2 linked regions of the Schizosaccharomyces pombe genome follow. The protein of the gene in region 2 interacts with the protein of the main gene of each other region in a pairwise test. Each region holds a gene or a part of one and is shown on either strand. Other genes may lie near its edges. The genes, in order: clr5 and pcf11.

Region 1 (5,884 bases), 3.2 Mb from region 2:
CCGGTCCTTTTCACTGGTCCTGGCAATATTCCTCCCGCTACTGGAATTAACTATTCTTCTTGGGCAATTGTTGGGTTTATATTTAATTATGTGATTAGAAAGCGCGCGATACACTGGTGGAGGAAGTACAACTACGTACTGGCTGCAGCTATGGATTCTGGGGTTGCAGTCGCTGGAGTAGTAATTTTCTTATGTGTATCATACCCTGGAGGTAAGATAACCTGGTGGGGAAACACTGTGTACACTAAAACTTATGATTGGAAAAGTGTGCCATATAGGTCACTTGGGCCAAACGAAACCTTTGGTTACACCAATTGGTAAAAGCTATTTTAAGGCGTTTAGTGCTCTCTCCTGCTCTTCCGATTGTATTTAAGCACATTTTTTAAAAGCATTTTAACAATCGTTATTTTGATACCCTCTAAGAACGATCTATATTGTACATTATATATTTTACCAAGATGGTGTGATATGCTTTGTCAGTTCAACAGGCCAAATCCGTTCTATTTTAAGGCTTTTAAAAACCTAAAAACGTCCGGTTACTCATAATTTGTTGAATGAAACATTTCCACAGCTTATTAAATATAATACTTTACTGAATCCACTACTATGATAACTATTCAAGGTTGGTTAAAGTTTGTAAATAGTAAAAACCGAATGTATAAGCAAAATAAAAATAACTATTATTAAATATATAACTTTTATGTACATAGGATCTCGTATACGAAAGTACCGGTCGACCTTGATTAAAAATAGTTTCTAAAATTATATACAAAGCAAAAAGACAAAACGATTAAGAGCAAAAAAGAATCAAAAATGAACTTAGCTCAAATAAGAGCTAACGCAAAAGGTTCTTTTATTAAAAAAGAAGGGCTTGCCTGTCCATATACCAGATACTGACACAAATGGCAATATAATTTAACTCACATTAGGCAGGTAGGGCGAATGGTGAAGAAAAAAATTAAAAAACATCTAAATGATAATAAAGCAGAAACCAAAAGGGAATGCCAGAAAGGACCAACTAAAGATACAGGTACTAGTATAAATAGAGCAACACCATGGAAATGGTCAAAACCGCAAAGTGCAACAAGCGGCAATACTAACCTAAACTAAACGAAACGAGAATCTACATCTGGATAAACAGGAAGTAAAGGTCCATGGTCATGCAAAGCTGCATCTGAACGAACCAGGGGAGAATGCTCATGGTTTTGTTGGGGCATAAGCAATGGATTTTGTACTGGATTCAAAGCCGCACTTGCATCTAATAGATTAGCTGAAGGATGGTGAATGTTCTGAGGAAATCTATTAACGAATGTGTTGGGATACGAGTATTGGATATGCTGGTCATCAGATAAATGAGAGTGAATGGGAGGAGGAAGCTGTTGAGGAACATTCTGTGCTGGATCAGCCATAGCGGGGAGAGGATTGTAATATTGATACGGTAGAGCTTGCTGCGATTGCATATGCGGGCTAGGTGCTGATGCTGAGTCATGAGCAGAGGGTCCCATTGTATGAGGCATTGCAGCCTGCGTTGCAGCAGCGGCACTTAGCACAGGTAACGTACCAACGTTATGAACAGATAAATCACGAGATGAACGGACAGTCAGAGTTTCATCGGATGGTTTTGCCTCCGGTTCAATTCGTTCAGAATAGTGATCGCGCATAGTCATTCCATTAGGATCGTATTGAGAATGCTGAGGGTATAAGTGTATACGCTGTAACTGGGAGGGGTCTTTAATTGACATGGAAGACTGCATTGAAAGATTAGAAGGATATTCCGACTTTTGCTCTTGATTAACGCCGTAAATGGAAGACTGCATATAAGCATGTGCTGGTGCTTGCATGTTTTGCCCATCCTCCGCTGAAGAAGAATATGAAGCTGGAAAAATGGACTTGTTTAGAGAGGGGTACTGACTTGCAAAAGAAGCTCCATTTGCATGCGCCATTGAAGGGCTGGATGTAGAATTAGGAGCAGACAAAGAATCAGTAGGCCCTGAATTTGAGTTAGGAGAGGGTGAATGAAGATGATTGGAATGAGGTGTGTATGAATTCATGGGTAATCCATTGACAGCAGTTGGTCCGTTAGAAATTTGTTGAGGAACCGACGCTGTAGAATACATAGGTTGTTCAGATGTATAACTGGGTTGGTGATTTCCAGGCTTACTTTCAAGATAAGATGGTTGATTTGGAGTATATCGATCATAGGAATAAGAATTAACAGGCATCGATTGTGATGATTGCATATAGGATATGTTGGCATGAGTATTGTCCATTGGAAGGGCATTATTACCGTCAGGATGAGCAGCAGATTGGTTTGAAGAAGCAAACATGGTGGAGCCCATTGGGACATTTCTAGATTGGTAGATGAAAGGATACAAAGCTTGTGGCTGACCGTTAACGGCATGTTGAGCAGCAGGGAATGGATGAGATTGTTGCTGTCGAGAGAAACGTTGAGAGGGTATTTGGAAAGGCTGCTGCAAATAAGGAAGAGATGGCATGCTAGAATAGCCAGACTGTGGAGGAGTCAAAGAAGAGTGCGCATTGTGTGCATCAGCCATAGTTGAAGGATCCACACCCATGTGAGGGGGAAGCGAGCTATGGTGAGGAGGATGGATGGCACCCATATCTAAATGGCTCGAAGAAGAAGATGATATAGTAGCGACGGGATCAGGAAGAGTGCTAATGGGAGGAGCAACGTTAGGATTGGAAGTTGTAGACGACGAAGAGTTATCAGCAGACAAAAGACAAGAGTTGGCCATCAAAGGGATAGAGTTATTGGGAGAATCGTGGGAGTCAGGAGGAGGACGCTTTAAGGCTAATCTCTTACGACGATAATGCAAAGCACGTTTCGAAAGTTTTAAACCAAAGTTCGCCTCTATCTGGGCCAAAGAATCTTTATCACTTTGTCGCGCATGAAATAATTGGGTAACGAGTTCATCGAGAGCCTTTGAAACGTCGCCCGAAGCGGTTCGCGCGGCGGCCTCTTCGGTTCGGGGCGAGACAAAACGTTGACGATGTACTCGAATTCCCCATCGAGCCAACACGCGTTTGTATGAGCGAATACTAGAGAAAAGTTAGCAAGAGTAATGAAACAAAACAACAAAAAAAAAGAGCTAAAGAGACAAGTACGCGATACGTGAACATAAACGTGAGCGAAAACGAAGTAGCGAAAGACAACTTCAACGCAACGCCAAATGAAATAGAGGAAAGGAAAACAGGATGGATTCATATGGCATGGTCTTTTGCATGAGCATGCACATGATATACATGACGGGTTATTGTTTAGGACATTTGTATCCTGTATGTAAGTGGATTGGACAAAGTGGATGAAAAAAAAGATATTCCAAACAAAACAGCAAACCAAAAAGACAAAGAAACAAAGAAACAAAATTTCATTGTTGAATGAATGTCTCAGTTGAGGATGTTTTGGAAAACTGCCATCCTGTTTTATTGTCGCAACCCCACATACCCAACAATAGCCAATGTCCATGCAGGCACGACACACAACGACGACCTACACCCAAACATCCAAACACACAATTCCATTCACCTTCTCGTACCTCTAGCCCTGTACTTATTCGCTCCTCGTCGCATCGCAAGCATCTCGCACAAAATGGCGCAACTTGTAGTCCCTGCGGCGACACCAACAAACTACTTACCTAGCGTCAAATTTATACATCTTTGACATTCTCGCCTGCAGCTCGCGAATCGTCATTCCATTGATCTTGGAAAGCTCGATGATCTGCTCTCTTCGACATTCCCATTCCTTCGTCATTGAAATCGAACTTTCGGTTGTCTAATGTTGTTTCAAGTTGAGATTGGAAGTGGCCAGAGTTGGTGGTAGTGGTGGCTCGTAAAGTAGGGGTGAAAATAGTGTATCAATTTAGTGCACGAATGACAACAACGTTAAATGATAAAATAGAGCGATCCAAGGTACACCCCCGGAAACATGTAAGGAACATCGGGTCAAAGAGGATAGAAATATATAGCCAAAAAGGGCGCAACTTTTTTCTATCATCTCAGGCATTCGGAAAAATGACCTCGTATCGATGGTTGCCATCTTTCCAATCACATCGTGAGATATTCATTAAATATTGCTCATGGAGAATTTCGGTTTCACTGTTAAGCCGCTTCGTATGATGGCGCTTCCCTGCTCTTATCCATCCAACAAAACTCATTACTCCTTTCGCACTCAAAGTACTGAAACTCATTCTACTCAACACTACTCTTAGGTAGGTTAGGTTAGGTTAGGTTGGGTTGGGGGAGTTTGGGCCTTTGCTATCCCATATGTCTTTTGGCACGTTTGATCTATTGGTAGAGGGTGGACTCGCTAGCGGCAACTTTTTTCTTTTACCAACTCTTTTGTTCGCTTCTTCCACCTTTTGTCAACTCAACAATAACCTTTAACGTTAAATCCTCGACGAGAGCATTCTGTCCCATTTCCAGTAAGTGAAGGATGAACGTTAGAAAGCTGACATGTTCGCGATTTGGTCTGCTAGTAAATGTTGGGCAGAGATGCCTGCTTGCCTTGTCTTGCCAAGGTATTTTTTTCTTTTCGCAAACGAGTAACAGGTTGCTTTGGAGACGACATGGGTATCTGGAGACGAGTGTCTGAGAAAAAAAATTGAAAATCCGAAATCATGATCAACTCCGAACGTACCTAATTTGGATGGACGAAGAGGAGGAAGAAGCGAGCACCCATGAAAGAGAGCACACTGATGCACGCATCCATCAAGTGTTACAAGACAGAGGTAATAGTAGATGAAATAGAAGGGATGGCAAGGTAAGATATGAAAAGGTAGGGTAAGGCATGGGATAAGAAGAGAAATAGGATAAGAAAAGAAAGAAAGAAAGAAGAAAAATAAAAATAAAAATAATACTAAAAAATAATTGGGGTAATTTCTTTCTTTTTCCTTAATTTATTTTAAAGTTCTTTGATCGAGTATTTCCTTTTTATCGACTTCTTCCTCTTGACACTGCCGATGTCCTTTACCTTGCAAAACTTATGCTATCGCTCATCCCGAGGAAAGTTTATAAACTTGCTAGTAAGACTCGTTGTTTTCTTACTACATAATCCACCTTGTATTCTTTTAGTATACAATTTTAACATACTTTATAGCAGCTTCATTTATACAACATACGGAATAGCATAATTTATTTATTAGAAACTTTTCATAACATACTTTATTCGTATAACATACTCCACTCTATTATTTGTATTATCATCACACTGTCTTGTAAATATAACCCAATAAGTAAATGAATAACTAAATATTAAAAAAAAATATATATTTTGTAACACTGGGATGCCAGTTTTATGCCACTCGCATACCTTTCGCATCCATATCAGACACAACTCTATTTCCTTCAATTTGGCAAACTCTGCGTCCGCCAAAATAAAATCATCAAGTCATGTGAATAAACATAAAGTTGAATGTAACATGTGAACAAAAACATAAAGTTGTGTGAATTTTGCAGATCTTATTACATTTGTCTTTTTCTATTTTTATATCAACATAAACTAAGGAATCCCATCTCCAAAAAAGAAAAAAAAAAAAAGGAAATAAAATTATATGTATATATTTTTATCCATCAGTCTCTCTCACAACAATTCATTGAACCAATATAGTGATATGGATTACTTATTCCACCGTTACAATATATTCATTTAACGACTGGCATTACTCCACTACTTTATCAGCTTCGGTGTTTCCCACCCTATCTATTAGTCTTACTGCGTTTTAGTGTATGGGGTCGAATTTATGGGGGTCAAATTTCGTTACCCTCATAAAATTTTTTTTTCTTCTCCAACATGTCGTGCTAGAGTTAATCCATGCAACTCCACCTCCTCGGTGTTCCAACCGAACATTACTCCCAACCTTGTATA
Region 2 (6,263 bases):
ACATGATACGACAATTGACTTAATAAAAAAAGTTTATGAATCAGGAATAAATGTTACAGAGATTTACGTGGATACAGTAGGACCTCCAATATCATACCAGGAAAAATTACAAGCTCATTTTCCTCAAGCGAAAGTCACTGTCACTAAAAAAGCAGATTCCCTTTTTCCCATCGTGAGTTTAGCTTCTATCTGTGCTAAAGTTACTAGAGATATTCAACTGGAATGCGCTCGTGAAAGTATTCGAACTGAGAACTGGGGTTCTGGATATTCTTCTGACGCTCGAACTACCGAGTGGTTAAAAGTAAATGTCGATAAAATTTTCGGATGGAAGGGAGACATAGTTAGATATTCATGGAAAACCGCTAAGGATTTACTAGAATTACCTTCCAAATCACAGTCTTCGATTGAAATAGATTGGCACGAAGATGACGATACTCCTACTTTGAACTTTACACAGAAAAAGAAACCGAATCCGGCTTCTCGTTCGTGGTTTGGATCAGAGTTTTATTTTTAGTTTAGTTACTATACTCTGTCACTACTTTTGCCTAAGACTAATTGTGAGAGTGATACGAATTTACATTTATGCTTAAAATCATTAATTGCATTGCTTCGTGCTTTTGGAGCTACGTAGAAAACCTTTATTAGCATTTGGTTATAGATAAAAATAATATAAATTTATTGTTCTATTTACCCCAGGCTTCTGCTCTGTTTATTGAGTTTGGTTTAGCACCAACAATAATATAACGACTTGTTAAAGTTCGCTATTATAAAAATTAGGTGGTCTTCTTTTACTTCTCAGTCCGATTTTAGACTACTACCAAATACCGCTTTGTTGTGGAATCTCGTTTTTTTTTTGCATAGATACCCAATTTGATCAAATATGGCTGGCATGAGACTTATTTTAGTTGGACCTCCAGGTGCTGGAAAAGGCACTCAGGCCCCCAACATTCAGAAGAAATATGGCATCGCCCATCTTGCTACTGGTGACATGTTGCGCTCTCAAGTAGCTCGTCAAACTGAGCTCGGTAAAGAAGCTAAGAAGATCATGGATCAGGGTGGTCTTGTCAGCGATGACATTGTCACTGGTATGATCAAGGATGAGATCCTCAACAATCCTGAGTGCAAGAACGGCTTCATCCTGGACGGTTTCCCCCGTACTGTCGTCCAAGCTGAAAAGCTTACCGCTCTTCTTGATGAACTCAAACTTGACTTGAATACTGTCCTTGAGTTACAAGTTGATGATGAACTTTTGGTCAGACGTATCACTGGTCGTCTCGTCCATCCCGGATCTGGCCGTAGCTACCACTTGGAATTTAATCCTCCTAAAGTTCCTATGAAAGACGATGTTACTGGCGAGCCTCTTATCCAACGTTCCGATGATAACGCCGATGCTTTGCGCAAGCGTTTGGTCACTTATCACGAACAAACTACTCCTGTCGTTGAGTTTTACAAAAAGAAGGGTAAATGGGCTGCTGTTGATGCTGCTCAAAAACCTGAGCAAGTTTGGGAGCAGATCGTTGCTATTCTTGAGAAGGCTGAGTAAGTATTTTTTTTAGGTTAGAGCTGAAGGGCCCCTTTCTTTTTCAATTACTTAGATATTTTTGCCTAGTGTTCGTAGGATATAAATATAGAATATTCTGAACCCAAAAGTTTTCGGTAAACTGTTTAGTTTGCTATACTACTATAAGCAGTATGTAAAACTCATATTTTAGCTGATTATATAGAAATATTTTTTGTATGTACATGATTCAAATTTATTGCTAAAATCCGAAAGCTCGAGAAAAATGAGGTTAAAACAAAACTCACTTGCTTTCTTGTTTAATAACTTTAGAAGACATTGAATCCATTGAATCGTCTCTCTCTTTGCGTTTACCAAGTGCTTGAAGGATACTTTGAATATCAATGCCTTGTAACAAATTTTGAACATCAGGTTGAGAGTCCTTCGAAGCGTCACCCGTAGCATTTTTAATATTAGACGAAACAGCTGCTTCCGCTAAATTTTGTGTACTAGTATTTGTGTTTGAATGTTTGTTTTCTGACGGGCGTACTTCTTGCAAACAAGTCGCATGAAATATACGGCCTTCCTCTTCGACTGCATTCATAAAGACCCAAACTTCAGCTTCCTCATGCCAAACACTTTGGAATTTTTCTTGACATATTGGACAAGGCTCGGACGCAGCAATTGGATCTAAGGGTGTCAATACATATTGTGACCTAACGGATTCCATTTGCTTTTGACGCTGTTCTTCGATTTCCTGAGCAGTCTCTGTAATTAAATCTTCCTCTTCTTTGCTATTGACCCATTCTTCCTCCATCACAAACCAACAGCGATTAATCCCATGAAGGCTACTTTCACGAATTCTCTTATTGATCCGAAAATGCCAATCTGAATGTTTGTCCAACTCCTTTCTACTTTCAGGATCATTTCCATAACGCCTACCACAGTTTGCGCATTGGTTAGAATAATTCTCATATAACAAAGAAGATAGCTTGGGCCGAGGAGTAGCGAGCGAAGATTTAGAAAGGTCAATGTCTGCTGTTAGAGACACAGCTTCAGTACAAGAAGCTTGTGGACCTTGAGACTTACCACCAGCAGATGGCGGAACCAACCCTGCAGCTTGCAGATTAGCAAAAAGAGAATCTATACTAGACGATTCTTCAGGCGTTAACGCGTTCGCGTTGTATAAGGATGCCGGCGGCCCTGAAGATAACGAATACTTGTGACTTTGAGGACCTGGATGGACATATGAATGAGTGAGTGGAGGTTGCGAAGATACAGAAGCCGAATACGCAGAAGGAATTGTAGGAATGGTAGATGGAATAGAAGGTTTCATAAAAGGAGTCGAAGAAATAGATGATAATGCAGAAGGCACGGAGGGAGCAGACGTAGCAACAGAACTCGTTGAAGGAGAAGCCGGCTTCTCTAATTGTGCCAGCTGGTTTTTTATAGCCAGCAATTGGTCATAAGGTAGTGCGGAAGAAGACAGCACATTTTTGAGTTGTAATAGTATTTCAAACCGCTTTTTAGCCATGTTGTCATAAGGATTTTTAATAAATCTAGCTTGTTCTGTAACAATCATTCGGTTAACATCAGATAAAAGAGAGTCCAGTGTAATAAATCCAGGAGAAGGACTGGTGCCCGAAATATGCTGAAAGCCAAATGGAACAGAAGGTAAAGACGGTTTGTACGAAGATGCCGGATCGGAAAATGAGGAGTAGGAGTTAATATTAGCGTCAATAGGAGCAGAAAATGATGAAATTGAAGTATTAGCAAGTAAAGGGCTCTGATGTCTCAAAATTGTTGATTTGTATTTTAGTAATGCGTTTTCAATTTTTGCTGTAACTATGGGGGAAAATACGGGCTCCAAAGAACTTGAATTCGGTGGACGTTGTTTCCAAGTAGCTAATAATTGATCCAGTTTTAAGCGCAGACGGGGTTCTACTACGGTGTATGCACTCATAAATGTCGAAAAAAGATGAAGGCCAAAAAAATAAGTATAAGGAGCTCCTAAATTCTTAGAAATAGAATCTAAAAGGTAAAGCGCTGGAAGTTTACAGTTAGGTGGGCACTGTAAATAAGAGTTAGCACATATGTTTCAATCAAGGTTAAATCATACTTTTTGGATATGTTTTTCAATGGCGTTCACGATGCTAATAGCATAAGGCTCATTCTCCTGCGCGATATAAGTAAGAGTATGGATGATAGGTTTACTGTTAAACGTTAAATCTTCTAATGCACTTAAGTAATCCAATTCCACTAAATCCATTTTCTTCTCTTTTCTGAGTTTAGGATAATGTAAAGCTAAACAAATCTAGCTATAGTCAAGTATGATAAATTATCTAACCGATACTGTCAAAACCAAAGTTTTCTTTTCTCAAAAATATCTTTTAAAACAAAATATTGTACACAATGATAAAATATTTACTTTTTAAACACACACACGCAGACTACAAAACAAAATTGTAATCGTGAGAGTCTCAAAAAACTAAGGATAATAGAAAACACCCGATATATTAGTACTGGGATATTTTCAATGCATCAGTATCCTTTTTCAATAAAAGGAAACTCTTTCTTTTAAAGAGAAGTCTATGGGACAAGGCAGCGTTGCTCGTAAGGAAGTTATTCGTATGTGATACATCTAATAGGTTATGTATTGTGTGTATATCATTCTCAGATTACAAAATATGGTGAAGCGTGCTAATGCAAATAGCGTATTTAAATTTACCCATTAATGTATTAACCTTTTTATAGTACTATTTAAAGTTATGGACGAGAATATTAACTTATAACTTATTAGCTTTTTTTTTTATAACAGTTTCGGCATGCATGGTTTATGGATTATCTGTAAATATACCTCAACATAATTTTAGAAAGTTTACGATTCAAAGAAACTCGTACTCTATTAAGGTGAATCTGATAGTAATTCTTGTCGGGACGTGATATTAAAGATCTAAAAGTAATGGAACCGATAATATAAAACACAAATTAAATGTTTTTTTAGTAAATTACTTTCAATTGTATGAATCATTCTTGAAGTAAAGTCTAACTTGAGTTTTTATATCTAAGAAGGCTGCATACAAAAGGAAAAGTTAAGTATATACATATTATTCTAAATCAATTTATCAATATATTATGAAAACTATCAAAGGAAGTATTGGCTCGTTGTATGCAAGGGAACGTGAAGAATGTTGGTGGTTTGTTTACTTAAAAAGTGTAAACAAAAGTTCCAATCCCTTAATCAGAATTCGCCCAAAGCATATTTTTTGTCCAGGCAAGGGAAGTTGGATAATTCTCTTTTGATCTCAGTAAGTCTTTTTAATTAATTTAGTTTTGCATTTAGGTTTTACTGTTTGATTTTTCTGCCTTTTAAAAGAGCATACCCAAAGTATGCAGAGAGACGAGGAAAGACCCATTGACTTTGGAATGTCTTTAGAACTCCCAAAAACACCAAATGATGTAAACTATGTTAAAAAATTGATTACTCAAATTCTTTATCTCCAAACTCTCGTTTCGGAGCAGCAAAAAAAGATTGAGTCATCTACTCTAGAGGTCCAGAAGAAGAAGGATCAAATAAGAGAATTAGAAAGGATTTATGAGATGAATCCAAAAAGTTTCCTAACTCTTCGACGAACGCCAGCGCTTAAGTTACTTCCTGAGACTTTGTCTGTAGAGCTATCTAATGAAGTAAATCTGACTTCGTCAACCACTTCTTCCTGCGTAAAGCCTTCTCCCTATCTTACAAATTGTAATCTAAAAAACAAGGACACATTTCCCGTTAGCAAAAATAATTGCTCTTTGTCTTCTGGAATTTTTACAAACAGCAATGGCACCAACAATTGTTTTTCGACTCATCCAAAATCCTTGGATGACGCAAAAGACAATGTGGTTCCTAAAAAATTAAATGATACCGATCAGTTTCCTTTATGGAGTAAAAATGAAACAATCGACCCGATAGATCTCGGTTATTCTTTTATTTCGCCGTTCTCAATGTCATTTGCAAGCAAGGGTAATGAAATTTTGGATCCAGGAGAGTCAACAAATAAAAATCTATTTTATGAATTTCCTAATGGAACAACCGAGCCGTTTGAAAAAAACTCTGTGCATTCTGGCAAAGAGACTTTACAGTACAGCGCAACCATAAGCAAATGGAAGGTAAGTCTTTCTTCAAATTTAAGCTTCATAATGTAATTGAAATTCCCTTTCGCTAATGATTCTTTTTTTAGGCTATGATAGAGCAAATTATCTTTCAAAATGATCAGGCAGCCTCACTATCTCTGCAACAGCAACTTAAGAATGAGGATATTGAGGATAATATTAATCTCATTAACACTATTCTTCCGTTTTCTGTTACATTAATGAAAAATAAGTTCGGAAACTTTCTGATACAAAAATGCTTTGAATATAGCACTGAGGCACAATTGCAAAGTTTTAGCTATTTTCTCAAAAAACATGTGAAGGAGTTATCGATTGACGCGTTTGGTTCTCATGTATTACAAAAATCATTAGAAATTTATCCAGAAAGATTTACAAATAACCTAATTGAAGAGCTTATAGAATGCTTACCAGCTACTCTTATGCAAAGACATTCCTGCCATGTATGGCAAAAATTTTTTGAAACGAGACGAAAATCATTAGTGGATGGAATCTTTGATCATTTTAATAAGAAGATGCAAGGAAAGTGGCTTCAAGTTTCAGTCAGTGAGATGGGAAGCTTAGTGGTGCAAACCATTTTTGAGAATTGTAAAGAAAAAGATAAGGTACG

Evidence for each region.
Region 1: the proteins of pcf11 (region 2) and clr5 interact in a two-hybrid assay, tested with the Schizosaccharomyces pombe proteins (one large-scale study listed by BioGRID).

What each region holds. Positions count from the first base shown.
Region 1 is NC_003424.3:5,426,295-5,432,178, reverse strand, and holds clr5 (silencing factor Clr5), read right to left. Parts: upstream 3,824-5,884; 5' UTR 3,773-3,823; coding exon 3,657-3,772; intron 3,061-3,656; coding exon 1,107-3,060; 3' UTR 656-1,106; downstream 1-655. Other genes in the region: plasma membrane glutathione transmembrane transporter Pgt1, read left to right, coding at 1-321.
Region 2 is NC_003424.3:2,255,055-2,261,317, forward strand, and holds pcf11 (cleavage and polyadenylation specificity factor), read right to left. Parts: upstream 4,133-6,263; 5' UTR 3,768-4,132; coding exon 3,618-3,767; intron 3,570-3,617; coding exon 1,803-3,569; 3' UTR 1,544-1,802; coding exon of another isoform or gene 881-1,543; 3' UTR 623-880; downstream 1-622. Other genes in the region: ribonuclease H2 complex subunit Rnh201, read left to right, coding at 1-514; adenylate kinase Adk1, read left to right, coding at 881-1,543; mpf1 (meiotic PUF family protein 1), read left to right, coding at 4,889-5,653, 5,725-6,258.